3 linked regions of the Lytechinus pictus genome follow. The protein of the gene in region 1 binds, or shares a complex with, the protein of each later gene. Links are inferred from orthologs where the notes say so. Each region holds a gene or a part of one and is shown on either strand. Other genes may lie near its edges.

The links.
Region 2: DNA polymerase delta subunit 2-like (region 1) and DNA polymerase delta catalytic subunit-like share a complex: the UniProt entries of both Homo sapiens proteins name them as parts of the tetrameric DNA polymerase delta complex. The link is inferred for Lytechinus pictus from reciprocal best matches to the Homo sapiens genes POLD2 and POLD1.
Region 3: DNA polymerase delta subunit 2-like (region 1) and DNA polymerase delta subunit 4-like share a complex: the UniProt entries of both Homo sapiens proteins name them as parts of the tetrameric DNA polymerase delta complex. The link is inferred for Lytechinus pictus from reciprocal best matches to the Homo sapiens genes POLD2 and POLD4.

The regions. Positions count from the first base shown.
Region 1 is NC_087254.1:6,786,275-6,797,216, forward strand, and holds the start of DNA polymerase delta subunit 2-like, read left to right. Parts: upstream 1-5,942; 5' UTR 5,943-6,528; exon of another isoform or gene 6,529-6,532; intron 6,533-10,023; 5' UTR 10,024-10,027; coding exon 10,028-10,217; intron 10,218-10,942. Other genes in the region: uncharacterized protein LOC129269026, read right to left, coding at 624-791, 1,290-1,411, 2,806-2,904, 3,868-4,257, 5,059-5,284, 5,866-5,910. UniProt on the Homo sapiens protein: Accessory component of both the DNA polymerase delta complex and the DNA polymerase zeta complex.
Region 2 is NC_087253.1:6,220,053-6,231,250, forward strand, and holds the start of DNA polymerase delta catalytic subunit-like, read right to left. Parts: upstream 4,768-11,198; 5' UTR 4,695-4,767; coding exon 4,676-4,694; intron 4,506-4,675; exon of another isoform or gene 4,383-4,505; intron 1,985-4,382; coding exon 1,769-1,984; intron 888-1,768; coding exon 762-887; intron 1-761. UniProt on the Homo sapiens protein: As the catalytic component of the trimeric (Pol-delta3 complex) and tetrameric DNA polymerase delta complexes (Pol-delta4 complex), plays a crucial role in high fidelity genome replication, including in lagging strand synthesis, and repair.
Region 3 is NC_087246.1:32,442,463-32,452,836, forward strand, and holds the start of DNA polymerase delta subunit 4-like, read right to left. Parts: upstream 4,931-10,374; 5' UTR 4,349-4,930; coding exon 4,192-4,348; intron 3,550-4,191; coding exon 3,463-3,549; intron 954-3,462; coding exon 842-953; intron 516-841; coding exon 491-515; 3' UTR 1-490. UniProt on the Homo sapiens protein: As a component of the tetrameric DNA polymerase delta complex (Pol-delta4), plays a role in high fidelity genome replication and repair.

The sequences.
Region 1 (10,942 bases):
ATGTCTGAATATTTATTGTTTGTAATCTGTCATGCATGAACGATTTGCTATGCTGTTGGTTCTAAATTAGAGATGAGATTCCACTCTTGCCATGAGAACCAAATTTATAGTAAAAACATATGTAATAATTGTGGAATCTATCTCTGAAAACAGGTTCCCTTTTTGTTGGACACACTGTATGACTAGTATCTCAATAGCTTGGTGCACATTTACATGCCAAAGAATACATGTACTTCATAGAACTGTATTTCAGAATCAACCTCTTCCCCATGATGCGGCTGTGTACTTGAAATGCTACTTTCAACATCATTGGGTTCCATTTTACATTGTAGAACCAACCTCGTAACCGGATGAATGTGCATTTGCTCAAAATGATAGTTTCAATGTCCTTGAGTTGAAATTTCACCTCTTCGCCAGGATGTAGCTAGTAGAAAGAGCTCCAGATACTTCAATGTAGAACCATCGTCATAACCAAGATAGCTATGTACTCCAGATTCCAGATGTTACTTTCAAAGTCATCAGGTTGTATATAATAGCCAACCTTTTCACCCTGATGTAGGTGCCTACTCATGATGAATGTCATCGGATTGAAATTTAAAACCAACCTCATCACCAGAACGTAGCTACGTGCTCAAGGTGATACTCTCAATGTCATTGGCCTGTATCTTGGCGTCGACCTCCGCCCCAGCGGCTCGGAATGAGATTTCTGCATCGTACGACACACTGACCTGGGCACAAGTGGCATTCCATAACCATCCTTCTCCTCCGCGCTTGTAGATCGTCACTGCCACCTAAACAAATGAATCCAAAGTAATTTCAGAGTCATTCAAAACTAATTGCACATTTTAAAAAATATTCATGTGAAAAATGACGTGGTTTCTCTCAAGACGGAAAATTCTACACATCAAACAGAAGTCCAAAAATTAGGATTAGGCCTGATAGGTAAATATAAAGTCTTTGCATACTGAAAAAACAAAAACATTTCATTTGATCCAAATCATTACTAAACTAATAATGAACAAGATGAGGATGCTAAATCCAATAAATCAAACAAATACTAGATCTACACAGTATTATTTATTTAATAATATCATACAAATGTGTAATAGCCCAAAATATTGTAATCACTCAAGCAGACCCATTGCAATATATGCAACAAGATTATAATTAATATAGATTATACAGTAAATTGCACTAGAACAGAAATTATGATAACTGGGGGTGATATGGTTGATAAAAGGCAAGTTGATGACTATTAATTAAAAGTATTAATTAAAAGGGATATTTACTTGAGGAGTGAATCCCATGACTGCCCAAAGGGATCCGAGGACTGAGCTACGCTGATGCTTGAATTCCATCCGAGATGCTGTCTTCCTATTCAGAATGAGGTCTTTATTTCCCTTGTAGTCACCTAATAAATGAATAACAATAATGCAATAACTTCTGAAGGTTAATTCCCATGGCAAAAAACGAATCAGTATAGAGGCTTCAGGGTACACCATATTTTTTTTAGTGTACAATTCCTGAAAACAAGAACAAACAAAGAACATTCTCTTGAAGACGACAAGAACACACTCGTCGAAACGTCGAGTTTGAGTGGTCCTTTTCAGGACCAACACTTGCCCAAGAAAGATACATGGTGTACAATGAAACCTACTACACTATTCTTCTTTGCCACGGAAACCTTCAGAAGTTACTACAAGAACAAACTTCCCGAACAATCAAGTTTGGGTGGTCTTACAAAGAGTTGCGATTGATCCGATCAATCACAACTATGGACAGCCATGCAGCAACGTCAACATCTAAAATGCATGAATGTTCAAAATGTTTTCTAGATATGACGTAAGGTACATAAATTCATTGTTTTCTTGACAATTTGGTGTGTTTGCCTTTGTTTACAAGGGACATTTTGCAAATTTTTTGTAGGAAAAATTATGACACTGATGGATCTCCATAGAGTTACAATTGATTGGATCAATCGTAACTCTTTGTAAGACGGGGCCCAGGGCTCCGTTGGATAAAAGTTACTATTATGGTAACTTTGTCATCCAGTCAGTGGCAGACCGTGACCCAGAGGAAACAAAGCATTGGAGGGGCACAGCATTGTTCACAGACAATACAGTGCCTCTCCAATCATTGTCTCCTCCGGGTCACGGTCCGCCACTTCATCCAGTGGTAACTACTTGCACCATGGGAACGCCGATCAACAGCTAATTAGAATCAAGGATTCCATGCAAGTTACCATTGGATTGCAAAGGTACCATAATGGTAAATTTTACGCAATGGGGCCCAGGAAGCCTCTTCACTGAACAATGATGCACTAGTGAGCGATGATCAAAGTTCTAAAATCGATAAGAAGACTTATGAAATTGACCATAAGAAAAAAAAAGTTGGTACATTCTCCATAAAGGACTATCAATAATAACAAAATAATATTCATATAAAAAAGGTTTTACTTAGAATACAGCATTTGGTAAAGAGATATTCACAATATTATTCATCACAGTCAAATTAATTTCAGTCTTTGATTTATTTATTTGCTGATCATCAATGTAATTACCGGAAATTAACTTGAATTGTGAACTTCATTATGAAGGTAGTATTGACCTTTAGAAGCGAGGAAGAAAAAAATAGCTAACTTCTCTCACAAAATGATACAAAAAGATAGGTTCAATTGGATTATCATCTCATTCGGTGCATTATTACTTTCATGGTATCTACATGTAGTATTCACAAATTTCATACAATATTCAAGAGCAGAGTACAGAGTGACAATAATATTACTTCATCCATTGAATTGCTCACCGATTATTTGTTTTCCACCATGTAAATGCACTATGTCCCAGGTTCCTATTTGGTTTAACGCATGCCTGGCCGATTCCATAGCACTGTATGATAACTGACCTAAAACAAAGAGAAAGAGATAAATACTGTACTTATCCAGGATAACTTTAATCTAAAGTGACCTTACTGGACCCGTTGGTAAATAATTCTGGTCAAATCATTGTTTGAAATAAACAGAGCTAAGTTCAAGCGTTGTGGATTTGAGTAGTCTAAACACTATCTGGAAATAAAAATTATAGACTTCAACAAATTGTATACTATATTTGTATATCGATTGTAATTGTGTACCATACTCAATCAGACTCAGAAGCAAAGTCCAGATGGTCAATCTTTATTTCACTGCATCTCAAGAAGGGAAATTAACTTGACATAAAGAAAATTAAAGAAATCAGAACTTATTGGAATAGTTTGTATACATTTACATTGTGATCAAAGCCTATCTTTTTGGTAGTATAGATACATGTTTACATATTTGTCTCAAAATCTCCAAGCATACATGTACTGTCTACTCTCTAGGATAAAGATATAGAATGACCAACACCAGAATTTTTTTTTTTTTTTTTTTTTTTTTTTTTTTTGGGGGGGGGGGGGGGGTACAAAAGAGACTTGTATGCCCCCATTTTTAAATTTTGTGGATTTTGTTTTTGCTTTGAGGGAGGTACAAAAGAGGCATATGCCCCATTTCCCCCTTTTGAGGAGTTTTAAGTATTATTATTATTTTTTTGGGGGGGGAGAACAAAAGAGGCATATGCCATATTTTCACCCTTTTGAGGATTTTCATTTTTTTTTTTTTTTTTGGGGGGGGGTGTACAAAAGAGGCATATGCCCACAATTCCCCCATTTGAGGATTTTTTAATTCTTCATTTTTCTTCTCTTTTTTTTTTTGGGGGGGGGGTGCTTCTGATTGTGGTGACCTTTGACCACATTTCTCTTTTTTTTAATAAATTTATCATCAACGAGTTCTTGCCAAGGTAAATCCTGGGTCCAGCCCTAATCTATGACAACTTAGATGGAATTATATACCTGTGATAAAAGAAGGGACGATAGACCCGGCCACCTTGCCTGTGTAGCTCGACTTCAGTGAATCCAGGAACAACGGGTACCTATCGGGGGTCACGATCTCATTCTCTTTCCACAACGAATTATCCAACTCCGATTTGGGATTCATCAAAACTACCCTGGAGAAGAAGAATTTCTCTGCCAGACAGGCTTCATTCCTCAGCAGATTGTTCCTGATTAGCCGAGTCTTAGATTTGAGTTCTTGGAGGATATTAGTGTGTGATTCATCGTAGGTCACACTTGATCGAGTGTTAGAGTCTTTGACGTTTTTTTGTCGGACCCATGATTTGCCGTTTTTGCTCAGTGATATCTTCCCAGACCAGTTTTTGACCTCAATGCAGTAGATTCCATACTCTGTCAAAAAGAGAGAATACACGTGCCATGAATTTGAAAATATCTCTTTCATCTGCCGATGTAGTACTAAATCAAACAATTTCTTTTAAGAACTCAATTATTCATTCATTTCATTATATTTTCATTCATCTTCATGTCATCTTTTATTTTATATCATTTGTATTGTCACTTTTTATTGATCTTTTTCAAGTTAAATAAAAAAAAAATATTACTATCATTATCATGGTACATGTATTTGTTGTTTATTTCTTATTTACATGTATTTATTGTTATATAAAATGGACATGTTGACTTGCAGCCCAAACTGGGGGTCAATAACTTAAAATACAATATGATTACAAGGCAAGTTTTTGCAAAATAACATATAAGTACAGTATACAGAGTTGCATTAAGAAAGGAAATCTACTTGCAGGATTTTTATCATTATTATCTTAAATATATTTGTTCTTTTTTTTTTTTGGGGGGGGGATTCACCTTTAAAACATTGCAAGGAGCAATTCCTAAGAGATAATATCTGCACATAATCAGATAATGCTCATAATTTGTGGGGAAAAAAGAGTAGAAAACCTATGATTCGTGAAGATGGTTGATGTACACAAAAGTATGTTCTCTTGATTAAAACCCCGTTCAAACAATTTTGAAGTGATCGAAACAAGTACAGTACCAGTCACCGAATCACTATTACCTGTTTCAACCAGAGAACAATAGATTTGGTCCACTGATTCTATTGTTCTCTGGCTGAAAAAGGTAATAGTGAGTCAAAGAATTGTGACTGGTAGTACTATTGAAGGAATATTTTACCTGTCAAAATGACAACATCTATTTCATATCGTCTCGTCTGGAATGTATCGGGAACCCTAAGACCTTGGTAGATGCACGAGGACGGCACCCCAGCTCTATGGACAAGGTCTTTGATTAGACTTTCTTCTGCTTGTCTTCCGGCTTTCACCGTTTCATCCTCATGATGAGAGGCCGGATTACTGGCCTCCTTGGCTTGAACTAAACGGCTGGTGAGATTAAACATGACCTGCAAGAGCACGAAAGGAAGAAAACAAATAATTAAAGTTAAGCTTTTTTGAGATATTTCCTGTCAGTTTAGAAATTATATTTAGGCTACTCATTTTCTTAAACATGATGTGTATGTGAATTGCCCCTGTTATGTTTGTAACCGAGATGTAAACCCAATTTTAGATAATGAATGAAAAAACAAACCACCAACAAAATTTATCAATATCAATTATCATAAACAATTATTGCTCCAATCAACTAAACCTAGTAGATCTACTACTATTTTTGTTTCAAAATTAAAAATAGTATAAACTACTTATCAAAGGAAATTCCTAAACCCTGCCTTACATATTATAAATATAGTTAAACGGAAAAAAAGAGAGGTAAAAATCATGAAAATTCCTGACTTGTCAATCAATGTTTACGAAAATATGAAGACAGTAATCAGTATATAAAGTCAAACTAATTAAGCTAGTATAGATCCTTGTCTGTGTCCAACAATTGGCAGGTTTGTGGAGAATGATAAATTGGAAACACACAGTCTAAGTCTAAAAAAATTACAATGCAAAAGTACCCTAAAAGTAAAAAAACTTAGCCAACCGGGGAAAGCCCATGGCCTTGGCAAAGAGACATTGCGAAATGCATTGCAATCCTCATCTTCATCATCGACTCGTCTCACTCTCAGTTCGTAATTCGAGCAGGCAGGCCGCAGGCAGCTGCAGTTTGTTCATGATCATGATAATAAAATGATTATACTTACGACTTTTAAAACAGAAATTGAAAATATAGCTCTTATTCGTTTTAAATCATCCCGATCTATCGTATGGTAACGTTTGAAGAGTGCTGAAATGCCTTATTTCAAACCTGTTGGAACAAAGAAAGACAACGATCGCCATCGACCAGCTGCGTGATGTAAACAATGATGACGTAACCACAAGGAACAAAACATTATTCAATACTATTTATTAAATTTCAATAGCTTTTCTACTCTATGGAGTCGAATATCATTTTGATGTATATCAAAAATATATACAATACATTAAATTATTTATTTAATGATATGAGAGGTAACAATTGATTTCGAAATATTATTCAAAACTATTCTTAAACAACGACTTTTACCAAATTACATATTGGACGCGGGAAAATCCCGAATTCGCAGAGTTCGCTTGATTAACCTATGGCTATGCCGTGCGATTAACCCCAGTGCGCTCCCAATCCTCGGCTCTCCATCTGGCATCGATTTGACGAAGCGTAGCTGAGGTAGGTACGTTAATTTGAAGTTGCGAATATTCAGAAATAATACCATATTTTATGATACATGATAGCTCATTCGGCCTCGCGATCGAGATTTTTAGGAATGGATAATTTAGCTTGCCTTGCTTCATAAAAATGCAAACATGAATTTCAGTAAGTGGGACTGCAGCATGCAGTGACTCTAGTTTTATTAAAGAAAGACAAGACTTCTTCTTCTTCTTCAAGCTACACTGTCTCCTTCAATCCTGAAGATTCTTGCAGTATTGTAGTACCGGGGACCGGCAGGTGCAATACACCGGGTGAACACCCTCCTCTTTGACGAATAGTGTTTGACTCACTTTGAGTGCACGAGCATGACGAGTGCGACTGAACCGTTAGATCATCTAATAATCTACTTTTTTTTGTAATTTATGTTTATTGATCCTTTTCATCAAAATATACATAACAAAACATTCATGATATAATGGATCACATATAAAACTAAGTTCAGATAACCGCATATAAAATAACATGTCTAACTCTAACTTAAGTAGTATAAGATAAGAAAACATATGACTAGGCCTATGTTTGTTTACAACAAAAGAAATTCAGGCACTTGGCCTGGCCTATAAAAAAATAAACATAACAAAAACAGCCTTCTGCTTTAACGCCTCTTTAAAGTATTCAGAATGATAGCCCACTTGCCATCATGTTTTCCTAATTTTCATTTCCTTTGTGCTATGGTATGTTCAACAGTTTCAAATGATAAAAGAAAGTTACAAAAATGGTGGAGAGTAGGTTTTGTTTCGTCACATCGACATCTAAATACATTGTTTACCTGTCAGGAGCAGAATGTTCAATATAAATATATTTCTGGGACTTTGGGGCTTACAGATACCAAAAAGAACATATCTTTCTGAGAGGAAATCAGGAAGATCTAGTGAAGCAAAAAGTGTACCAGTTAACATTATTCCAAAATTGGTTAACGTCGTGGCAAGAATAATAAAGATGCATTAGAGTTTCTGGTGATACTTTACAAAATGTACAAAGTGTATCTGTTACCTTGTTAATACGGAATAACCAAACCTTAGTAGGAATCAAATTATTAAGAATCTTGAATTGTAAAGCTCGAAGTCTCGTATTTATAGTAGTACGTAGAGGTAGTTTTAAGAGTTCTCTTACTTCTTTCTTGTTGAAGCCCATAAGTGTCTTTTAAATATGTAAATATATTCGAAATTGATGGGTTATTTTCCTTCAAAAAAATGTGTAAAAAATATACTTTGGTACACCTGTTACTTCTCTAGTGATGCCATCAATAGTTAAAGTTGGAATCAATAAAATGTTGTCGACAATGGGATGAAAGCTTTGAGATAGAAAAAATACTTTCCATTTTGATGGCATAAACTTGTAACAAATGTTAAGCCTTTATTTTTAGCATCTTTCCATCTTAGTGGTCTGCCATACTCATCCAACATATGTAACACTTTAACAAAACCTTTGTTTTTTTATCTCTGGCTTATGAAAAGATTTTCCATTTTGTAATATGCATCTATTATTCCATATTATTTGGTCACATATTTTTATGTTTTTTGAAATACTGTGCTCCAACTAATCATGACATCTTTATACCATTCAGGAATTGTCAGTTTTAAAATATTAAGATCATAATTACAATTAAATATAAAGTCACCACCTACATTTTGAAGCAGTGTCAACAGGATAATCTTCCATCCCTTTGAATTGGATGTCAAAACTCTAGATCTACTACTAACTGTTGATAGATCTAACATTTTGGATCTTTATTCAATATTGGAATTGAATAAAGTTGAACTGAACTGAACTGAACATTTCTAACACATTATATCTATCAAGGCCAGGCCAGGAATTCCAGAACATGAAATTAAATTGAGACTGAGAGAATAAACGTTGGAGACTAACCGTGGCGTTGTTATTAGATGATAGATCCAATGGCAATGCCATGGGCTATGGCAATGGATGATAAATGTGTAAAAGTTTGAAAACTGGTGAATGAAATGAATTAAAGATGCAATGGTTTTTTCATGGTCATGATTTTGAAATTAATCATATGGTTGATGATGATGGTGGTGCGGTGGTAGTGGTGGTGGTGATCATGGTGGCGATGAAAAAAATTATTTTACAAAGAATTTGGATGAGAGATAGACCTGGAAACTCATCAAGATGATGATGGTGATGATGATGATATTGTTTTTGTGTATTCAGATCAACTTAATTAGCTATTGACATCACAAAGTTATGAAAGTAATATTAGTAAAGTACATTTGCCTTACGCTAAGAAAAATAACCAAGCAAATTATCTAAAACCTCCAAAATGAGTAACAAACAGATTTCAGCTGTCAAGATTTTGATCACTCCAAAAAAAAAAAAATCATGACTGATGACTCTTAATCTTTTGGGGAGATCAAGATACTATTTACACACATGAATCATATTGATATTAGTTTTCTATCTTAAAATTCTTTTGGACGAAGTACATGCTCAGCAATTTTTACAATCCTCTCTTTTTTTAATTCCTGATAGCTCAAGACAAAAAAATGTTACCTAGATCTAGACCCCTATATCTTTTTAGGAGATAAAGACAATTCACAATGTTGATCATCATGATTATATTTCCACCTCAAAACTGTGTGGAGATATGCTTTGTTGTTATTTCTAGAATCTATCAACTTTAAAGGCGTGTTTGCTAGGAGCCAAGCATTTATGACTTTATTATAATGCCTTGCTTATCAAATATCTTCTATTGTGGATACATTTTTACTATCATATCATGTTCATTTTACATGTGTTCTAATCTTTGCAACAAGGCAATAAAACCCTGGATTGGCAAAATCAATAATAATTTTCCTCCATTTTCAACAAAACATATTTGTTATATTTTGTGTAATACACAGTTTTCAAGGATGCATTCAGGATGAAGTCACATTTGTGGTTTAGCCTGACAGTATTTGATGCAGATACCTAGAAAAAAAAAAAAAACTGGCAGTTGTTGCTAATTTGAAACAAGTAAAGTTGATTGAAAAAAAATCCAAAGAACTCATTGTCTTAGATACATGTTTAATGGATGATAATCAGGACCCCATTGTATTAAATATTAACATTGTTGTAACTTTGCCATCCAGTGGTAATTTCCTTTAAATACTTGATTTGGGTTGGCTGTTGAGCATTTTTGGCAAAGTTTCTGTTATGCTGTAGGCCCAACAGATGAATGAAGATACCTAGTCAATTATACTGAATGATGATTGGTTGATGTAATAAGACTGTTTTTTAAGCACAAGTACTTCAGTTGAGTAGACATTCTTGATTTGTTTGTATTTAGGATTTATTTTAAACATCTATTTTTAAACATCTATTTTCAATTCAATAATATTCAAATATTATTATTATTAATTCAATCAATCATTAATCTATTCAAAATTTTAGTGTCTATTGTAATCTCACAAGACCCATATTCCTCATTATCAGTTTTCTTATATTGTTTTGCAGGTTTATGATAATAAAGACAGAAATGGCGTCGACCGGACAAGAAACTTTTCAACGTTTGTCTTGCGACTACGAAAATCTGTCTTCTCGATTTATGCTGCAAGATCGGAACTACCAGAGACAGTATGCACATCTGTACTCAGAACGGTTGACTCTTATGAGACCTGCCCTTGAGGAATCGGCTAGGAGGAAATGGGGTAAATGTCTAGTGTGTTAAACTTAAAGCGGAAGTTCACCCTGACAAAAACTTTATTGTAAAAATAGCAGAAAAAATAGTTTTAAAATGTTGCCGAAGGTTCGAGAAAGCTCCATCAAAGAATTAGAAAGTTGTTAGAATTCCAATTATTTGATTTGTGACGTCATATGCCAGCAGCTTTAGTTCATATATCGTATGGTAAAAGTCAATGAATTGTTGTTTTCTCATAAAATTGAAAAAGGTTTTTACTGTACCAGTGTACCTTCAGTATGTCAATAGACAAATCATTTCTCACCCGTTCCTAAAAAGAAAACAAAATAAGTCATCACGAACCATTAAATTAAAATTTATGCATTTTATATTACATAACATATGGGGAAGCTGCTCGTTTATGACGTCACAAGTCCAAAACTCAAATTCTAATAACTTAATCTTTAATGGATTTTACTCAAACCTTCAGCAATATTTTGTATTATTTATCTGCTATTTTTACAGCATACTTTTTCTCAGGGTGAACTTCCCCTTAAACCCTAAACAGGCCGGGGGGAGGTCGAATCAACCTCCCCGTCAATATTTTCTGCGATCATTCCGCCGCGCGAAATTTTTTGACCGCGCCACTCGCAGAGTTTATACTTTTAAGTCTCGCGCATCTTTTGAGACCAAATTTACGATGCCCAGGTACGCGGTCCCGAAATTACGCAACATTTCGTAAGTGCATGTCAGACC
Region 2 (11,198 bases), on another chromosome or scaffold:
AGCCCTTTCACTGAAATATTGATCAATATTATTGATTGATTTTATTCATATTACAAACATTTGTCATTAGTATAATCACAAAAATAATATATTGAAAGGATCATCAAGCTCTAAGAGCTTGGGAGCGATGTCCGAAATATATTTATAAATACATGTATGATGAAAAAGAAGGAATTTAGGAGTACTTTCAAAAGATTCAATATTGAACACATGCTCACATACATAAAACAAGAATTAATAAAGTTCTCCATATTTTACCATTAAATTTGCTTAGTTGAGTAGTAATGAGTAGGTCAGACCTGCCAACCTTCTACAACAAAAAAAGTATTCTTTATCTAAGGAAAAAAAAAATTAAAAGTATTTTTTGACAAAAAAAAGTATTTTTAAAATTTGCCAGCCTGTTGTAGTGAGATCTGTGACAAAAACATGTGAAATGACTCTACTTGAAAACTTGATAATTCACCCTTTTAAACATGTGCTTGTAGGCAAGAATTTACTTGTTCTTTTCATGCAACAAGTTACTGGCCCGACAGTGATTTTTTACCGGTCTGGGCCCATCGGACCAGCGCTAGAGTCACACGCTGTGTGTAACACATACTCCATGATTGGAGATTTAAAATAAAAGTAACAAATCATTCAAAAAAGTATTGGTGTATTCATAGCAAAAAAAGAGGAACAAATACTCTAAAAAGGGAACGGTTGGCATGTCTGGTCCATGCAGACGTTCGGGCAAAATTATCCCTACAAGGCTACATACTTACCAATATAATGCTCCAGATCAATCTGTTGGAATACGATCGAGTCTTTCGCGGGGTCGATCGGAGCCAGCGGAGGGCGAGGCCACTTAGGATGCCGACATGTACTCTGCTGTCTCTGCAAATTGGCACCTACATGTATATGAAGTATTGATTAAAAAAAATAATAAGAATAATAGTAGTTCAGGAAACATGCAAGGCATTGGTCATTTTATATAAAGTTAAAATATTTTCAAACAGTAATTATAATAATGATAATAATTAAACAGTATATTTCACCAGGGTAGCCACTTCAGTTCCGAAAACTGTTCTCCCAGCGGGCCCTGCTATTATTACTACCCCAGCTTTAGCTCGGCTACCTATAGGTGCTCAAGCATTCACGGAATTTCTTCCAAGCAGGTACCCATTCACCTCACCTGGGGTGAGTGCAGCACAATGTGGGTAAATTTCTTGCTGAAGGAAAACACGCCATGAGGGCAATATTGGCCAGATTTCTGCTAGTGCGCTTGCGCAGTAGGAGGCGATTTTGTTCGCTGATTTCAGTACCTGCAAAATCTGGTTGGAACCAGTTTGTGAACCAACGCATTGTAGATAATGCGCGGCAAGTGCATAGGCATTCCCAGCTAATCAAACCCAAGCGCAAGATTTGTACGCATTTAGTGTATGTGCGCGCCATGCATGAAGCGCAACTGCGTGGTACATGTACATCACAATTGCATGGCAAGGATTACTTCGCCAATTTTTTGAATAACCTAATATCAGAATTAGGTATTTATTTATAAGCAAACAGGTATATAAATTGTTCTAAATAATAGCTTGAATTACACATAAATACAGCTGTAGGCAACAATAATTATTGACTGGCACTTCTTTCTGGAAACAAATGTATTGCCCTTTTTTAATAAAAGGACCATATTGCCCTCGTCTAAAGACTCGGGCCAATATGATTCTGTTGCGGGCAACATATTTGATGTACCCCTCAAGGCCAGTCAATATAATATAAATGTATTCACCATTGTTAACTGATGGTCCTGGTCCTCCAACAGATCCATTGGTCCCCTGAGAATCCATCTCAGACTCGATCTGCTCCATCAAGGCCAGCTCTTCCTCGAATACCGATGGGTCCTGGTCTTCGAAGTCCTGGACCCTGGCCTTCTTTGACTGGGGTCCAGGCCCTCGAGCAGAGCCCCCTGGTTTGCGTTTAGAATCCATGATGGTGGCGTTAACCTCTGATCATATATAATGTACAATACAAGACTGGTTATTCAAAAACCCAATCAACATTTGTTCTTCCAATTGGCAACATTTGGTGTCTTTTTTTAATCCATTGTTATAAAAAAAGCTGGATAAAGCTCTTTGTATGCTGCCACAAAGACAAGCTAGAGGAAAAGTACTCCATGGGGGCCATACAGCCACGTAACACATCCAGAGCGATGACAAATTAAACAAAAAATAGAAAATTCTACGTGCCTTGAACGAATCCAGCAGTACGAACCTATGTTCGTTTGTCAACAAACATTCCATCAAAGTCTTACAATACAAAGATTGGACACTTGGCCGACTTCGCGTAACGCTTTGCATCGATTTACGGGTAAAATAGTTTAGTGCCTAGATCTAGTCTTTTACTTGTAGTGTCTTTGATATGATTATGAAGATAAATCGCATGCCCTCTTTAGACGAAAAAAATAGGAAAAGGCATGAAAGCTCCATATTTCGTCATCAAGAAAAAAATATTTTAGGGATATTCACGATATTAGGGGAAATTGACTTCACATAGTTCGCTCAGTTTCGTAGAAGGACTTGATTTTATTAAAGCCATCTTAAATTTGCGCAATCCCATGCAAGTGTTGCATGCGCCGGGCCTTCAATTTTCCTGTGCACGGCGGCATGTATGATGGGGTGTCTAAACTGCGCGGACTTTCAAAAAATATTCATCAGGCTTAAATTTGTTCACAAAATATTCACAATTTGTACAAAACCAATTCAAGAAAAGTTTCCACATTATGACGGCAATATCAATTTTGTTTATCATGAACTATAAGACGAAAATGTGAAGTAGGCCTAGCCCTAGGCCCTAGATCTACATGTCAGTAGAGGCGCACGGCCAATATTGGAGACTGTCTCCAATGTGTGAGATTATCTCCAATATCAGAGACTTTTGTAAAGAATTTGGGTATCCAATATCAGAGACAGTCTCCAGTTTTGGAGTCCAATTTCCTTTGTTTACATTTGCTGCAAAAAGATTAACTTGGCGGCAAATAAAAATGTGATAAGCAGATTCCTCATGAAAAATTACCCTTTTTCACCGTCTACTTTAAAAATTCACCGTCTACTTTTGTTTTGATAAGGATTTTTGTTGTCAATCACACACAAAACAAATGGGCTTCTGACCTCAGTGAGACAAAATTTTGGGTGAAAAAATCATGCTTTTGTTGGTGTCGTTTCTTTTGTCCTTTTGCAAAGCAAGTCTCCAATGTGGGAGATTGTCTCCCCTATTGGAGAGAGTCTCCCATATTGGCCGTGCGCCTCTCTACTGCATGTAACTGTTAGATAGATCTATTCTAGGTCAAGGCCAAGGGGTTTCGCCGGTATCGCGATCTCAAAATTCTATTCCGATAGACGAATGCATGCTGTGCTGGAAAACCATTCTAAAAAAGTGTGACCTAACTTCACGGACCAAAGTTTTTGTGGAGAGTTAATTAACATAATGATAATAACAAAAACTCAAGCTCAAAACTTAAAAGGTGAGCTAATTAAGAATAAGATATTTAGGCCTAGGCTATATCAGTGTGGTAAAATGTACCACAGTCTGGGGCACGCGCGACTGCTCCCTACATAGTATGTAGTACTGTGGGATGGGTTGGAGCAACCACCTCCTTGGTTGGAGCATAGAATATACATGTACTATGGGCTAGAGGCTGTGTGCACACAACAATAGACCCAAACCCCCAAGCCCTGTGCATTCATCCATGCTTGGGTGCACAACTCAGGTCTGAGCATAGCTGCATAGTCAGGCCAGCCAAGGGATCTGATGATCACTTGATAGTCGACCGGTGCGAGACGAGGACGTCTGTGTTTCTACACAAATCTACCTTTGCTTCGCCCTTCGAGTTTCAACTAGCTGCGGCAATTATACATCACACCAATACTAGCCATCTACACCAAGAATACTTCACACCAGTAATCATATCTACAAGTTACTTTGGGCCTGCTTTTTGGTTTATCTTTATTTTCACCGTGCCTTGCACCAACTCCTGTCTGGTGAGTAGGTAAAGACAGTTTCCTTCTGTTAACCCCACTTTCCACCCTCTTTCCCTCACAGGATTTATTATTAGTAATATCCCTAATTTTACCACATCAGATTGACGACAAAATGCTATAGATCTAGTAAAGTACTACATTGAACTCATATTTTTTATGATAATATCTGCTGGCAAAATGAAGATATCGTGATCACTCTAGGCGACACCCCTATACGTACTTACCCGTGCTAATAAACTGGGACTCCACTCACGCGCATTTGGGCCGCCCTAGCTTAGAACTAAGCAATATTATCTAGAAATTGTTACATTGTAGTAATTAAATATGTTCTATTAAATAAATTGATAATGTTTAATCGGTACTCACCGGTTCTTTTGTTGCATTTTCAGACCATTTCTCACAATTCTTCGTAAATATTTGCGGCAAATTTTGTCGCCATAGACAGCTTAGCATCCATCTTTATTGATAAATGGAGCGCCCTTTACGATAGTTGTTAATGCCGCGGAGAAATCGTTAGGCATTTTGGCCTGTGTTCAAGGCGTTCTTTCTGTTTTATTTTTTATATTGAAGATTGTGCATTTGTTGAATAGCGCCGTCTACGTCAGGTATGAGTAGGGAGACCGGACCTAATTTTTATCTTTGGATAGGGTTGGACTTACGTGCTATGACTGTAATCATTTTATAGGGAAAATTTCACTCATACCAACTGCCGAATTTCTTGAAGTTATTCCATTTTACTGCAAAGTTACAAGCGAAGAGAAATTGACATTTTTCCGCCAATAATAGCTCAAAAACCTCCCAAAATATGGTCATCCACGATACGCGTTCACGTCCAATTCAGGAAATGAAGGCCTCCCTCGTAAGGAGGAGTCTCCGCGAATGTTGCTAATGATGTCAGCGCGCCATGATTTTTACGCTGCACGGTCATGAATATGTATTACTTTGACCCCGACTGTCTTCAAAAGTTCGAGTTACGCACCCGTACGGGTGCGTTTAGGTCAGGTTTAGGTCAAGCCATGTCACGAGCGAATGCAATGCATAGAAAGAGAGAGGGAGAGAGAGGGGGAAAGAGACGCGATCGTAACGTCCAGAACCAATGCTTGAGAGGTTATGATGAAATGTGTCTGGGATTATTTGTGTGCATCAAAAGTGTGTCCATTCAATGTACCTTCCCACGTGGCTCACGACACGGCGTGGAAATTTCCTTTGTTTATATTTATGTCTGACATGGTCTGAGAGAGTCTGGCATTTGTCTGTGATTTGCATGTGATGTGGCAGTACATTATCGAGTTGTGTATCTGCTAAGACAGAGAAAGTTTAATCATCACCTCATGAAAAAGGTATTCCCCAAAATTCGAGACGAGATGGGGCGGGGGGGGGGGGGGGGGCGAGGCAAAGAATGAGAAGAATCAGCATGTAGTTTTCAGCATGGGATTGATTTTTTAATTGTGTGATTCTCTTTTTTATCAATTTTATTGATTCTTCTTGAAAATTGTTTTAAATGCTTTTAATCAGGCGCTGGTGGGAGGGGGGGGGGGGGCAAGTTCCCACCCACTCCATTTTGATTTCTTTTTGCTTGATTGTCAGAAATGTATCCAGTTGTCAACTTGACAGTGGCGGCCAACTTCTTTTTGTCAAAGAGCGTTAACCCCACCCCCCCCCCCCCCGTTCTGATAATTGGATTCACCCCTTCAAATAATTAACCCCCTTCTTGATTTTGCACTTTGGTTGTTACCGATTCCAACACAGTCATTATTATATTTGTCGTAGATAGTGAGTTGTAATTGATAAATTTCCTATGATTTGTGAAGGCTTTGATAACTGGGATCCAAAGAACTAATATGATTATAGTTACTCTGTCATGGCAACTACCGTGGGAACGGGGCTCGACCACAATCGTTTCCATGTTCAGAACATGGACCCCTGGGAATGACCCGGCATTTGACCTCCATTCTCAGTCTCCAGATATTTGTAAACAATGATCTTATCTTGGCCGCTGGTCACCATGGTAACGGACATTCCAACGTATGTTCAGTTCATGGACCGAGAGGTCCATGCACAGTTGAATCACGATCAGAGTTGAAACATGGAGAGGGAACTCCATAGTTGAAAAAAAAGACACTCTCGATCTGGAATAAGTGGAATCAGTTCATATAGGATTATATATAAGAGCATTTCTACTGTAAGCATTAAGATGAAGAAAAATAATGACTGAAATGAGTCCGGGAAATGGGCAAAATATTTGGACTTGGAGACGGCTTTTTTTTTTAATCATCCTTTGAAGTTCGAGGGATATATACGAAGACGGCCAGCAAAATTATTGTTCTATGAATTCAATTCTGCATGTAATTGATTTTTTTTAATGTGTGATTCTCTTTCTTATTCGTGATCTCGTTGATTCTTCTTGAAAATTGTTTTTAAATGCTTTTAATCAGTGCTGGTGGGGGGGGGGGGGGCGACAAGTTTCCATCCACTCCATTTTGATTTCTTTTTGCTTGATTGTCAGAAAATTATCGAGTTGTCAACTTCACAGTGGCAGCCAACTTCTTTTCGTCCAAACAGCGTACCCCCCCCCCCCCCCCCCCGTTCTGGTAATTCCTGGATTCACCCCTTCAAATATAACTAACCCCTCTTTTTTATTTAGCATTTTGGTTGTAACTGATTCCAACACAGTCATTATTATATTTGTCGTAGATAGCGAGTTGTAATTGATAAATTTCCTATGATTTGTGAAGGCTTTGAAAACTGGGATCCAAAGAACTTACTACATGTATATGATTATAGTTACTCCGTCATTGCAACTACCGTGGGAACGGGGCTCAACCACAATCGTTTCCATGTTCAGAACATGGACCCCTGGGAATGACGCGGCATTTAACCTCCATTCTCAGTCTCCAGATATTTGTAAACAATGACCACCTGCATGTTATCTTGGCCGCCGGTCACCATGGTAACGGATATTCCAACGAAAGGTCCATGCACAGCTGAATCACGATCAGAGTTGAATCATGGAGAGGTATACAAGTACCTCCAACACCATGGTTGAAAAAAGGACACTCTCCATATGGAATAAGTGGAATCATTTTATATAGGATTATAAGAGCCTTTCTACTGTAAGTATGAAGAAATGAGTCCGGGAAATGGGCAAAATATTTGGACTTAGAGACGGCTTTTTTTATCATCCTTCGAAGTTCGAGGGATATATACGAAGACGGACAGCAAAATTATTATTCTATCAATTAAATTCTTGTGCCGATGAAGGTACAGGTTGGTGGAGGGGGGGGGGGTAGATTGCACCTGCCTTCTGACTTTTGACATCATCCAGGACTATATAATTTAGCATGGTCAACGTTCAATTTTTTTTTTGCTTGATCTCTTTTGTTCAATTACACAACGTGAACTTGTCTCTACCCCGAGGTCTCTACCCAATTTACATAAATTCTCATCACACTGCTACTCCGACCTCTCCCCTTACATCTAACTTATCTCTTTTTCTGCTCCCTCTCTTCTCTTCTCAACCCCCCCTCTCTCTCTCTCTCTCTGGTTGCATCATCTTTGGTCAATATATCAAAGTCTGGCCGGCTCGAAAATTCATTAAAAAAAATATTTAAAAATGTCGAGGTCTCGGTAGCACACCGGCCTTGATGCATCTTGATGAAATATTATTTGGACTGTCTTCTTCCACTTACATTGTTGTTTTGGTTGAATATGATTGCTGCCGCGAGACTTTGATATATCGACCAAAGATAATTCAAAGATTGATGTAAAACATGGGATGATAAATGGACAGATCAAAATACATGCACGGTTGAATGATTACACCAGTGATGAGTCACTAAGTTTACATGTGCAAATGCAAATCATCCACGTGCATGTGTGTAAGCGATACACTCACGATCATTCACAAAGTACATGTAGACAAAATTGCATTGAAACTCCATAGCATTGCGCACAGCGACACCCGCGATGAACTTTGAATTCTCGCGCCGGTTGGGCACGTGACCATAGGCGCGGGACCGCTTGACGTCATTAAGAAAGCGCGTATTTAATCTGGCGTCATCGGGTTTACCACGCCCTTTTTTCGCTGTTCAAAAACTCGCATGGTAAGGGTATTTTGAATTGCAATCCGACACATGATCCTCAGGGATATGCGAAAAAATGATGTCATAATCGGATTCAGCATCGTCGAAAATGCAAACTGGACTCGGTTTACGTACAGAGACTTTAATCGTACTCTCGCTATCGCAGAAGGAATGTTACTTCTCATTATATCTTTTTTTGGCGAAAGCGAGTGAATTGTAAACCGATATGAGTATACAGAGCAAATTATTTCCTTTCTTTTGGTATATAGATCATGATCATACGATGTGAGGATCAAGTGTCGAAAATGCTTCAAAGTGGAATTTTGCTCCAAAATCTCTGACCATTTCGAGGGGAAATGCGACCTATGCGAATTTGCGTGTGTTAGCGCTCGCGCTGACGAACCGTTGTTCAAACCGGTGAGTGAGGGGTCATTTCCGTTGCTTCAAAAGCATGATAAAACACCATGATCTCTTTTATTTCGACATTGATTAGCTTGAGAATATACTTGATGATGATGTTGTTGGCTTATTTTGATATATATTGACTATTTTGTTTTGTGATGGCAAAATAATGAGAGACATGTCGTATTTTTGTGAGCTGCTCGTTGAAGGTCCGTGCGGCGTGTAACAAAAGGCGGAATGCAATTGACGTCCGCGCGGTCTCCCTAGTATGAGATCGAGTGTATAAATACACTCTTCCAAAATAATTATGATTCCGACCTGGCGCTGTTTAACTTCAATCTCTTTCACCTAAATTAGCGATGAATGCTAGCATTATAAAATATATATTATTAACGTCTGACGAAAAGAATAACCAACCGATCAGCTGACGAGAACGCGAATCACGTGATCTTCATATCAGCTTCGATCACGAGTCAGAAGAGAAGAGCAGCTGCCCAGAAAATCAGGAAAAAGCCGTGAAAATGTAAGTTCCCCTTCATTTCTTTCATTTTTTTGTTGTTGCTAACGATGCATTTACACTATAAAATTATAATTTAAATAAGAGAAAGGAATATAGCTTGTACTTGTGATAGGCCTATAATATATAAATATCCTGTTCTCAGAGATTCCTAACCAAAAATACTACTGATGTCGCCTATGAGGTCCATACATGTAATGTTGGACCTCATTGGTACTAGGAGTGATCGTGATGCTTGTTGAGAATATCAGATTGAGTCTGGACTGGGTCCGATACACAATTTACAGCGTGTGGGACCGACTCTAACTTTCTTATTAAGACAGGCAACTTGTAAAATTGTATCCGCGTATCCGTTCATTTATTCAAAAAGATCACGACACTGACAGTTGAAGGAATAAATAGTACTCTCAGACCCTCTTAATAATAATAAATACATCGTCAATAATATAAAGATGAAATTAGACTACATACTCACAAAATAGCGCAAGGCAACATCAATTTCGATACTGAACTTTAGTTTTTAGTAAGACAGTAAACTTCCCGGTCCGACGTCCAGCTCCTAATCATTATACGGTACACGTAGCCGTACCATATACCGTACTTGTTTGTCGCGCGCCGCGGAATCTTTAAATTCGGCGGGACAAACGACTTCCTGTTTTTGAGTACGAGTCGAGTACGTGTACGTCATAGAGATATAAGTGGGTTTTCGCCCAGCGTCGTACGACGCTATCTACGACGTAGAACGATCTCTTTGTTCGTGCGTCCGTCGCGCTCAACTCTCGCTTGTAAGCAGTTTCGCAAATCGCTGAACGCGGCCGGATCGACCGGCTGGCATGGTTGGCATGTAATGTTGACACGCCAACATGTGCATTGTATATGTTCCTACTATGTGCACACAACTGGCAGTGCCATGTGTCTTGCAGTCGCGTCGTCGACCGAGCCATGCAACGGCTTTTCAATCATATTTCAATAATCATACTCGTTTAAACTTCTACTGTAACATTTTGAAATTATACTTAGCTTGATTTTAGTATAATTGAAATGGTACTCACCGAAAAACTCGCATTCGAGTCCATGTTTTGAAGCTTTCAGCTATCAGTGTAGTCAGAGTAGAGTACAACATGTGCATGCACGCGATGGGCGAATGTGTTTACATCGATCGGCTCAGCTTGCTCGCTCTACAAGCGATCTGATTGGCTGTTGACGGCTGTTGACAAATCCTACGTTCTAATGCGGACGCCCGCTAATTTGCGGAAGAACCGTCCGTGATTTGAGCTCAAGAACACTCGGGCCTCTGTTTCCATGAAAGTTGGCGATTTTTGCACACGTACGTTCTACGTCGTACGACGCTGGGCGAAAACCCACTATATAGGGGAGGGGCCGGGGGTTCTAATTTTCGTAACACGTAAAATAGAGGTGATGAAATTTACAATTCAATTAATTCATTATTCAAGTTTCAAAAAAAGGTTTTTTTCAGCTAGTAACTGATGATGTGTTTTTTTTTCGCAATTAACCCCAGCTAGAGTTTTCTTCTAACTTGGCTCTGTTCTCGACCATTCTCCTTTGAGTTGAGTGACTTGGGGAAAATTGAAAATTAAGAGCTCTAGAAAGAAAAAAAAAATCAATTTAACCGATCACATTAGCTGAGATCGAGTTTTTATAGACCATAGACTGATTCTTTTTTTTTACTGACACTGCCCCCCGCCCCTGTCTTGATCCTTGAATTAATTCCTAATTATAAATTATTTTTTTCCCTTGGCTACACTTTAGTGAAACTTCTTTTCGCTCTCCTCTTTCCTCACTCGATCTCCGAGACCTTCTCCTCTTTTCTTCTTCTTCTCCTTCATTCTTTTCTTCTTCCGCTTTCTATTCTTCTCCTTATTCTCTTCTTCCTCCTCCTCTTCTTCTTCTCCTTCTTCCTCTTCTTCTCCTTAATCCTCCTCTTCTCCTTCCTCCTCTTCTTCTTCTCCTTCCTCCTCTTCTTCTTCCTTTCCCTCTCCTCTTCTCATTTTTTTTGTCTTTTTCATCTTCTTCCTCTTATTTTTTTTTTATTTTTTTTTCTTCTTCTAAGCTTCCTCTTTCTCTTCTTCCCTCCTTCTTCCTCTTCTCCTTTCTCCACAAACCTACAACTCCAACAATTAAGACAAGTATGAAAATAAAATCAAAATTCATTGTATTATA
Region 3 (10,374 bases), on another chromosome or scaffold:
CCAACAACTGCAGCTTAAACAGACCCCCCGACAAATTTTAATATGTATCCAAATTTATTTCAAACTTATGATATCACTAGTTTTAATTTTCACATTTTGCCACTCTTCCAAGAGTTATTTGAATTCAAATGAACAATAACATCTCCAATGCCATTAAAACTTCAGATTTATAACTGGAATTAGTTCTCAAGTTCCATCCCATGTAACATGATTCTGGGCAAAATGTCAAAATCTGCATTACATGTAATGGCAAATTTTACTTAAGAAAGAGAGACAGAAAGTGAGAAAGAGAGAACATATGCATATCTGAATCTGAGAATGATCTGTTAGTAAGATGAGTCCTAACGTTGCGCTCAGATTGGAGTTCATTTGATCTTTGTTGGAATGTACATGTACATGGCGACACAAAGAGTTTTTTGCAATCCTTGGCACAGTCACATAATTTACATGCATGTCAGCCAGTTATAGTATCTGGGTAGGTGACGGCAATTCATAGAGGGTATCCAGACCAGATGCTGAAAGAAAACACAAAATATTTTAAAATAAGCAAATGAATGAAATCAATATTAAATTACAATATATAATATATGTACACATATATGGAATCAATGTAAATTATATGTTGAAATTATTAACTTCAATTTTTCAGTATCATAGTAAAGAATTATAATCCAAATTGGATAAACTAAATCAACAAGGAAGAAAACAGCTTTGAAGTTCGTTCTAATTTCATACATGAACTATATTATAAATGAACATTGCACAAGATAATGAAACAATAGAAATCTAAACTACTAGTAATAGAAATGAGGTGGGGGTACTAAGAAAGTCCTCAACTTACTTTTGGACAAACTCCTCATCATCTTCATATTCTAAAATGAGATCTTTGATATTAGGTGAAGGATTATGACCATGGCTCTCGGCTCTTTCCCATCTCTCCAAACGAGTGATTCCTACATCAATAACAATAATACAAATACATGATTAACAACAATCATGTTACCCCCCTCCATACAGCACACAAAAATCAATCCAAGATCTAACACAATTACATTACCCTAATCCTAACCTAACCATTCAATAACCACATTGCAATTCTCATTTTAAAGGGAAGTCCAGAGCAATTGTCAAAGGTAAAAAAATGTTGGATTTTCAAGACAGATATGTACTCCATAAGAACTTGAATGTATGACATTCAAAAGTAGACCTGCCAACCTTCTACAACCAAAAAAGTATTCTTAGAAGGAAAAATAAAGTATTTTTTGACAAAAAAAAAGAGTATTTTAAAAAATTTGGCTCAACATAACAATCGCCAGCATGTTGTAGTGAGATCGGTGAGAAAAACATGTGAAATGACTCTACTTGAAAACTTGATAATTCACCCTTTTAAACATGTGCTCATAGGTGAGAATTTAGTTGTTGTTTTCATGCAACAAGTTACTGGCCCGACAGTGATTTTTACTGGTCTGGGACTGTCGGACCGGCGCAAGTGTCATTCGCTGTGTATAATACATACTCCATGATCAGAAAAAAAAAAGAGAAACAAATCATACAAAAAAAGTATTGGTGTATTCATAGCAAAAAAGAGGAACAAATACTCTAAAAAGGGAACAGTTGGCATGTCTGCAAAAGGGATCAATTTCAAAACAAGTTTTTCAACAAGGCACATTGTAAAAGATTAGTCCAGATACTTCTTAAGTGATTTGCTCGCACTTTCATTAACCTGCTCGAACAACAGGTACTATAAATTATGATATCAATATCATCATCTCCCACATTGATTTTTTAAATGCAAAGATGGGTTGCATTTCAGCCCAATTCATGAGTTCCCCAGACTCTGGAACTCTTTACCTTGTGACCTGAGGAACTCTATCCTTACTGGGTCTCTTTAAACATGGTGCAATCACCTAAATTCCTATCTTGTCAATTCTAAGTAAGTGTCAAAAATTTGATATGACCATATTTATGTATTTAAGAATTATCTATATTTTATTATGATGTATTTAACCGTTTCTTTTTATATATAATATATCTTCTATCAACTACTGGCCATTATTTATATCCAATCGTGTTTCAATATTTCAATATTTCAATATTTCAATATTCCAATAGCAGTATCGTTCATTGCATGTTCATTGCAGTTTAAATCTCAGGGGGTTGTATTTAGCATGTTACATTAAATGCAATATAAATTGAATATATGCTGGGTTGCTTGCCAAGATATCACAGTACTTTCAATTTTAATTATTCATTGCAATTTATACAATCTCCTACCGACCCACACGTCAAAGCCAACCAAAAGTGATTTAGATAATTGTTCGCAGCATATTCCCTTTGATTTAATTTTTTACCTTGTAGGCTAATATACAGTGTATTTATTGATATTTGTTTGCATGATTTTATGCTTTGAGATTCTGAGTAATTTAATACTTTGTTTTCATATATATGTAAATTTAAATGCAAATGCATGTTATGTTTATTTCACATGAAAATACTACAGTGGATTCACCTGGATGGGGTATGGGTTAGGGCGGTCTGTGGACTATAGTTATTTGGTTAACTTTGCCCAATGCCTGGCAGCTCATCCGTATGAATCCAGTGTTTAATCATTTTTTGTGTTAACTGTATTATCATTGTGTTATTGTAACAATTATTTTTTATCATTGTATTTGACTTGTTTGATATTTTGCCAAATAACATAATAATAATAATAAACAACATTTGGGAGGCCTAAATTGTCCTCGGCATCTGGGTCCCATTTCATGAAGACTTGTTACAATAAAGAATGCACAATTTTGATAACTAATTCATGATCAGCCAATTAGATTGAAAGATTCTAGGAGCTTTTAATTGCAAATTTGTTATATAACAACTTTTATGAAATGTTCAGTGATAAGCGCAGCCTCATAGCTCAGAAACCATTGAGTTTGTCTCAGAAGGACACACGTACTGTACTGTTGATCTGATCAAATGCATGATCGACAGAAAACTGGTGGCCCAATTATATAGAATGCATGTTTGATCAAAATGTATTTCAAATATCACCCATGCACCATTGTATGGACTAATAGGTGCACTCCTTTGTTTTCAATGAGCTATGCCATTAACTTATTGAATTTACTGAAGAGCCACGCATTCCATCTTGGTAGCGTATCAAAGTGGATTGTAGTGCGGCAAGGGTTGGGGGGGGGGGGGTATTCACCCTTAGTAACCCCCAAATGACTGTAATTCTGTTTTGAATCTGTTTTGTGATGGTGCGTGCACTGCTGCATGAAAATTATGATACTGATGTAGTTGAGATTAATATCAATTGTATCTCTTTGTAAGTCAAAGCCACATACCCTGGGCTCCATCACTGGATATAGATGATATTTATTTGAATGAATTTTCATGCCTTCTTTTTGGCTATCACTAGATTCATTACATATTAAAAATTAATGTGAAAGCATATGGCAAACCTACCCGTACAAGGTCCATATCTCCAATCCAGATCAAATTCCCGGAGTGTGTTTAGATTTGTCTTTCTGATAAGATCTTCAGCACTCTCAACTAAATGAACAAAATATTAAATAGATTGTATGTAATTGAGAGAAATTCAGAGTAACTTTAGAATCCTACGTTATAATCGATTGTATACATACTGTTAGAATGAGGAATCACACACACACAAGACATTATATCCCATAGATCTGTATTCTGTAATCGAATCATGACATTGGATTATAATTTTTTTATAAATAAAATTAAAGGTAGATTTCTAAGCCAGAAATGCGATCTTCTTTTCTTTTTTCAGCATACCCAACAAGGCATTATGAAATCCATGGAAATACCATTAACAATAACAGTTAGAATTAACAATTGAAGTAACTTCACACTAAGTAAAACTTACAGAAAGAATTGCAGAAAACAAATTAAATCTAAAAGTAACTTGAAATATTAGTACGGTACTCCCATTGTGGCAAGAGTTGAGTTAAAACAATTTTTGATTTTTCTTGCGACAAATTATGATAATCTACAATCGACAATGCAATATGATAATAGTAAAAGCCCGACAACAGAATGTTTACATATTTAAATGTTTTTGGCATAAACACCGGTCTTTTGGCCTTCGACACTACAGCTCTCGATCGTAATCGACTACGCGGTACATGTCGGCTACGCGGTACATTTCGGCTACCGCTTGGTACTCACCTTCGATGGTTCTCTCTGATTTCCTCGGGCTTGCTGCGGGGCTTCGAACAGCTACATTTTGCTTGCTTTTCCCCTTTGACTTCTCAAGAATGCGTCCTGATTTTTGCTGACTGAATTGATCAGTGATTAGCTGTTGTGATACTGCCTTGCTCGACATTTTTTGCTAGAGGTTAACTTTCTACCTTCAGATCGAAATCGTTGATGTTTTCATGAATCATGTGCTACAAACTTCAGAAATGGACTGGCAGGTATCAGCTGATTACAACAACAACATGTCATAACATGTGGCGTGGGTATTTAAAAGTTATGAGTTAAGATAATAGACTGTCGATGGAACTCCCAATGAATTCGCTCAGATATCCCGTTTTAAGTGTGTATTATCATAGCTCTGTTGATCGAATTTTATAATTGTACAACAGTGACAATGATAACAATTAACAACGTGATCTTAAAGAGTAAAAAAAAAGAAAGAAATGAAGTTTTGACTGCGATTACTTGGATATATGAAAAGACTGTCTATTCTTTATCTACCCTTGTTAGCGTCGTCTGCTATCATGCCAAAGCACGGTCAGTCAATGAAAATAGCTTGTTAATATATTTCACTTATCTGTTACTGTATTTCGCCAATAAATAGCGGAAATACTGTAACTAAAAACTGGCATTAAGAACAGTGACTCGCACTATCCTACAGCCTCGCCTGCTTACAATCTTTCTTTTTAAAATTGTTCCCTTGTACACTGCACACCAATCCCTTCTTCGCTCAATCACCCTGAAAAAAAAAAACTTTGTTGTAAAAAAAGCAGAAAAAAAATTGAAAAATATTGAAGGTTTTATAGAAAATCCATTCAAAAATAAGAAAGTTATTAGAATTTCAAGTTTTTGATTTGTGACGTCATAAACAAGCAGCTGAATGCCCCGTTATGGTATGTAATATAAAATGCATAAATTTAATTTGTTAATGGTTCTTGATGACTTATTTTTTATTTTCTTTGTAGGAGTAGTTGTGAAATAATTTGTGTATTGATATACTGAAGCTATATTAAAAACCACTTTCAATTTTCTGAAAAAAACATTTCATTGATTTTTTACCATACAATGTGACGGAAACTGAAGCTGCCAGTTGCATATAACGTCACAGATCAAATAATTAAGACTAATAACTTTTTTATTCTTTGAGGAATTTTCCTCAATCGTTCACCAATATTTTTACAATTATTTTTCCGATAGTTCTACAATAAACTTTTTTGTCAGGGTGAACTCCCCCTTTAAAAATACATCCTTCATGACCTCAGAAATCTGGCGACTTAAAGAATATCATCTGGTCTAAAAGTGTTGATTCATGAAATGTCGACAAATGCAAATTTACCTGTAAATATAACACGGGCCTCCACTTTTCTCAATCACTTCTCTCTCTCTCGTATTCAAGACCACTTATGGTGGGGGGGGGGGGGAAGAACAGTGGATTTGATAAGACTTGAATGAATCATAATAACTTAAAATAATAGTGAGTTTGCATGTCCAAGAATGAGCCTTCTCTCTCATACGAATGAGGGAGAAGGGGCGGGGGGCAAGGGCCACTCAAGTGAACACAATGAAATAAACACATAATGTCCATTTAAAAAAAAAAAATCATTTTTTTCAGGAATTTAATCGCTGAATCTTCAAGAAAACTTGAAATTGCATTTTTACAGCACAAGTAGGTAGGGTAATGGATAAACTGGATCAAAAATACTTTAGACACACAAAACAGATGCTAGGTAGAGAACTATCCCATAGTGGAATATGATTTCACAATCTAGCTGATCCTCAAATTAAAATAATGTACTTGAAACATACATTCTCAATGTAAACAAACATAAATGACAATTTAAAATCTTTGTAACTGATATAATAGACACTCGTCATGAAGGGAAATATTAGAACAGAGTACAGAACAGAAATCCCATGTTTCAAGTTATCTGTAAAACATTGTTTGATGGAACCAATTGTTGTTTTTTCCCCATTCTAGTGTAAAACTCAGCACAACAAAGCCTGGCAGGTTTTTTAAATCTTCATTCTATTATCTATTAGAGAACATACTTTGTAACTAATTACTAACTACATGTACTTTAATTGATAGAATTAAAAAGATATTTAAACCATGAAAAGACATAATAAATTATCATTTAAAATAGGAATATTATATTTTATGAATTAGTATCAACAGAATTATGTCAGGATAGAGTCTGTAGGTAGAATCTCACAATGTTACTGTTGAACAAAATTTAACTTTTATTTTAATAACAGGCTGTTGTTCATGCGAAGCAATGACTCACTGGTTAGTAAAGAATGCTCTCATAATAAATGGTGGACTCTGCATAATAATCATTCCATGTTATGAGCTGGACAAGGTACTTCCATCATTGCATGCCCAGAACATGCCTTGATTGTCCACAAACTATTATTAAAATTGAAGACAGTTCAAATCAAATCTCTGTTTTCATTATCTATATAATTCACTTGAATAACAGAACCTGGGGGGGGGATGTTTAACAAAGATTTACATATGACTTAGAGTCACACTTAAATATCAACACGTACATGATATGCCACACGCAATCTTTTTAATCAATACGCAGTAGTCTGCATCATCTTGGCATGATCTGATCTGCATGTCTTTTATACCGCAAGCAACTAGGCATTTAAGTACGACTCTAAGGGGGTGTTGCAAGAAAATATTTGCGATCAATTGCAAATGTTCTGTTGCAATTTTACAACTGATAGATCAACGTTAGCTGTAGCAAACCAGAGTAAACTTCTTATTTCAAGGAGCAAATTAGCAATCAATCACTAATTTGCAATTAACTGCAAGACATATGATTGATTTAGGGACCAAAAAATGACTTGCCATTGATCGCAAGTTTCTTGCAACACCCCTTTAAGTCATACTAAAATCAATCTTTGTGAAAAGCACCCCCTCCCCCCCCCCCCCCAGTTTTCCCTAAATACTGTATATCAGGAATTCTCAAGCAGTAGACATAAAATTCAGTTACACCATTCTCTCTCTCTCTCTCCCATTTGTAATATCAAGCACCTAACTAATAACTGATGGTAACTGATTCACTCTATCAAACCGAACGGTATAAATTATTAAATTAATCAATTTCCCTTCACATATAACAAAAGAAAGATAGAAAATAATGAAGAATGCTAGTCTGGATATATTATATAGGGTTACTTTCCACGTATTGGGCATTACATGCTACATTGCACATGGTAATCGAATAATTTACAAATATACATATAATATACTGCATATGCCATTATATATGATGATGAAAGTTTATAGTTTTACTAATATATACAAGTACCGATAATCCTCCAGTAAAAAAAAAAGATGATCATAATCTACACAGGTGATAAAGACTCATGAAGGGGATGGTGCACAAAAATGCATTCAATTGCAAGTCAAACTTAAGTCCTTACTTTAATCTTAAGTCTTGCAACTGTTTGTAGGTTTGAATCTTGCAACAGAAAGTATCATTTCATTTGCTATGGTTTAACACCATAAATGCATTCTTGCAACACTCCTCAAAGTGTCATGCTACTACACACATAGAAACAAATTCCAAACAGTGCAATTGTGATTTGTTCTAAGTATATTAATTCATACAAACATTAATTGTTGGATACAGTGGCATATAGGATGTGAGACCTTCAGGTGTATGAAATACGAAAGATATCGAACATGGAGGGAGTAATTAAGTAGATGACAGACATGAATTATTATTCAACTTTGGCTCAGACATGACACGACACAGCTCGGCAATATTGTTTACAGTGTTCAGACAATGTTCAGTGGTGAAACAAATATTACACTTGTGTTCATGAACTCCCACGACACAAGTCATCTCTCACCAGATTATTTCCCAAAGTTGCACAAACAAAGTCCTGAAAAATGAAAAATTCTGATACCATATCATGCCATATTACTCTGATGATGTCAAGAATTTGGATGTACAACTTTTTACAAGAATCCTTTTAGGCTATGTTTATTATTATTAGTATTATTATTATCATCATCATTTTGACTGGCCCACAGCTTTTGATAGCCAGCCACACAACAAAATATATATCCAGAATTTGGACGATTTTGAAATGCCTCATTGAAATTGTACATAAATGTTGCTAAGCTCTGTCGGTCTAAGTTTGAACAAACTCTAATAATTCTGCCATAGACTTACAGAATGAACTGACCTACATGTACATGGATACACTGAGAGTAATAAATATTAAAACATATAGATTCGCAGGGATATTATATGCAGATAATGATCTATTATTGAAAGTTGATAAACCAACATTCAACAAAAATCAGAATACACAATCATGTAATACTGACAAAATAATTCTTAACGATATAAGTAGCACTGCGATAGAATCGAGTTGCATTTAACTTCATACAATATCACATTTCACAGGAAAGGGGGAAATATTTTTAATAACTTAAATTTTGAAATCCAAATATCTTTAAAAAGGTGATTAGAAAGATGTGTTGCACTAGTATTTGAAATATATTTGCTTGAATTACAGTATTTTTGTCCAAAACTATTTATTAGGCTTTGGAATATTATTGGAATATTATTAGATTATTCAAATTAATTAAATAAGTTACCGCCTAACAACTTTTCCATTATTTGAACATTTGTCTCACAATTAACAGCCTTTTTTTGTTATATTTGAAAAATATAAGTGATGGCAAATTTGATACTCAGAACAAAAGAGGTAATATATCATTAAAGATAAGAAAAACTGACATTGTAAAAAAAATAATATTTCGCATGTCATTGTCTTTTAAGTTTTGTATCATATCTCTGAATGAATATCTAATTAGCCCCGATTAAGAAAGTGTATTATTGGCCTGATTCTAAATATCTAAACCATGTTCTAAACATTTGGAACCAGGTCAATAAGAGAAGAAATCTAGCAACAGATGGGCTACGGTAGGCCTATACGTATTTTAGATGTCTAACAAACGGTACAATTTTGTTGTTGTTGTTTTTTAAACTAAAATTACAAATATAAATATCAAAATAAAAATGCAAACTCCATTATATAATGAATACATTTGCCATTGAACAAGATGAGAAATCAATCGAATGAATATATATGAAATAACCCAAATTCAAGAAATTATTGTGATGATGATAATCATCATCATTAAATGCAGAACTCACCAATCACCATCATCCAAGTCAGGTTTAGCACAACATGCCCCTGATATTTGTAATAGATATTTCTAATTATGTATCAAAAGAAAATCAATGAAAGGATAATGTGGCTGAAAGTCTGCACATTATAACATACATGCATTCCTAGATGGATCGATGAAGAATCTAACATGCATGTATAAGTGCATTAGGTTCAGTGGTTTCAACCACATAAATGTAAAACAAACTTCTCAAAAAGTGCTTATTTTTAGCTGATGTTAACACACAAATAAGACACCGATTACATGCATTATCTGATTATCTTGTGAGGTAATCTCGAATTCATATAATTACATTATGCAGTTTAACCCTAATAATCCCTCTCTAATAGTACCGCAGCACCCTGTCCTGGTGGGCGTTTCATAAAGCTGTTCGTAAGTTAAGAGCGACTCTAAGAATGACTGGTGAACCTTTCTTACGTGCGTAACCATCGCCAATGAATATACCATTTACCACAATAAAGGATCACCAGTCGTTCTTAAAGTCACTCTTAACTTACAAACAGCTTTATGAAATGGCCCCCAGCACTTGTACCTTGTTAATGTCCAGGTGATTCGATGTGAATGTGCTGCGATACTTAAGAAGTGAAGCTAGGGCTTCGATGTTCAAGGAATCAGTAATTTGAGAGAGGTGTGAAAGAAGCGATTTACATCCGGGCATTCAAACCTTCTCTCAATAGGGACGGAGGGCGATACAACCCGACTATCGATTGCTACGTCACAGGGTCAGATTGGGTTACTTCGGTCATCGCTGAGGAAGGTTGCAGTTAGCAGCCAAAAATTTTGAGGTAATTCATGGATTTTTTCTTTGGGTTGAGAGCAAAAGTTTAATCTTTTCTTATTTTCAACCAACACAGATGAACTTTCATGATCGTAAGTTTAATCTATAAAGTCTGCATATCATAAAAAAAACGTTCAATATGTTGTTACATGTA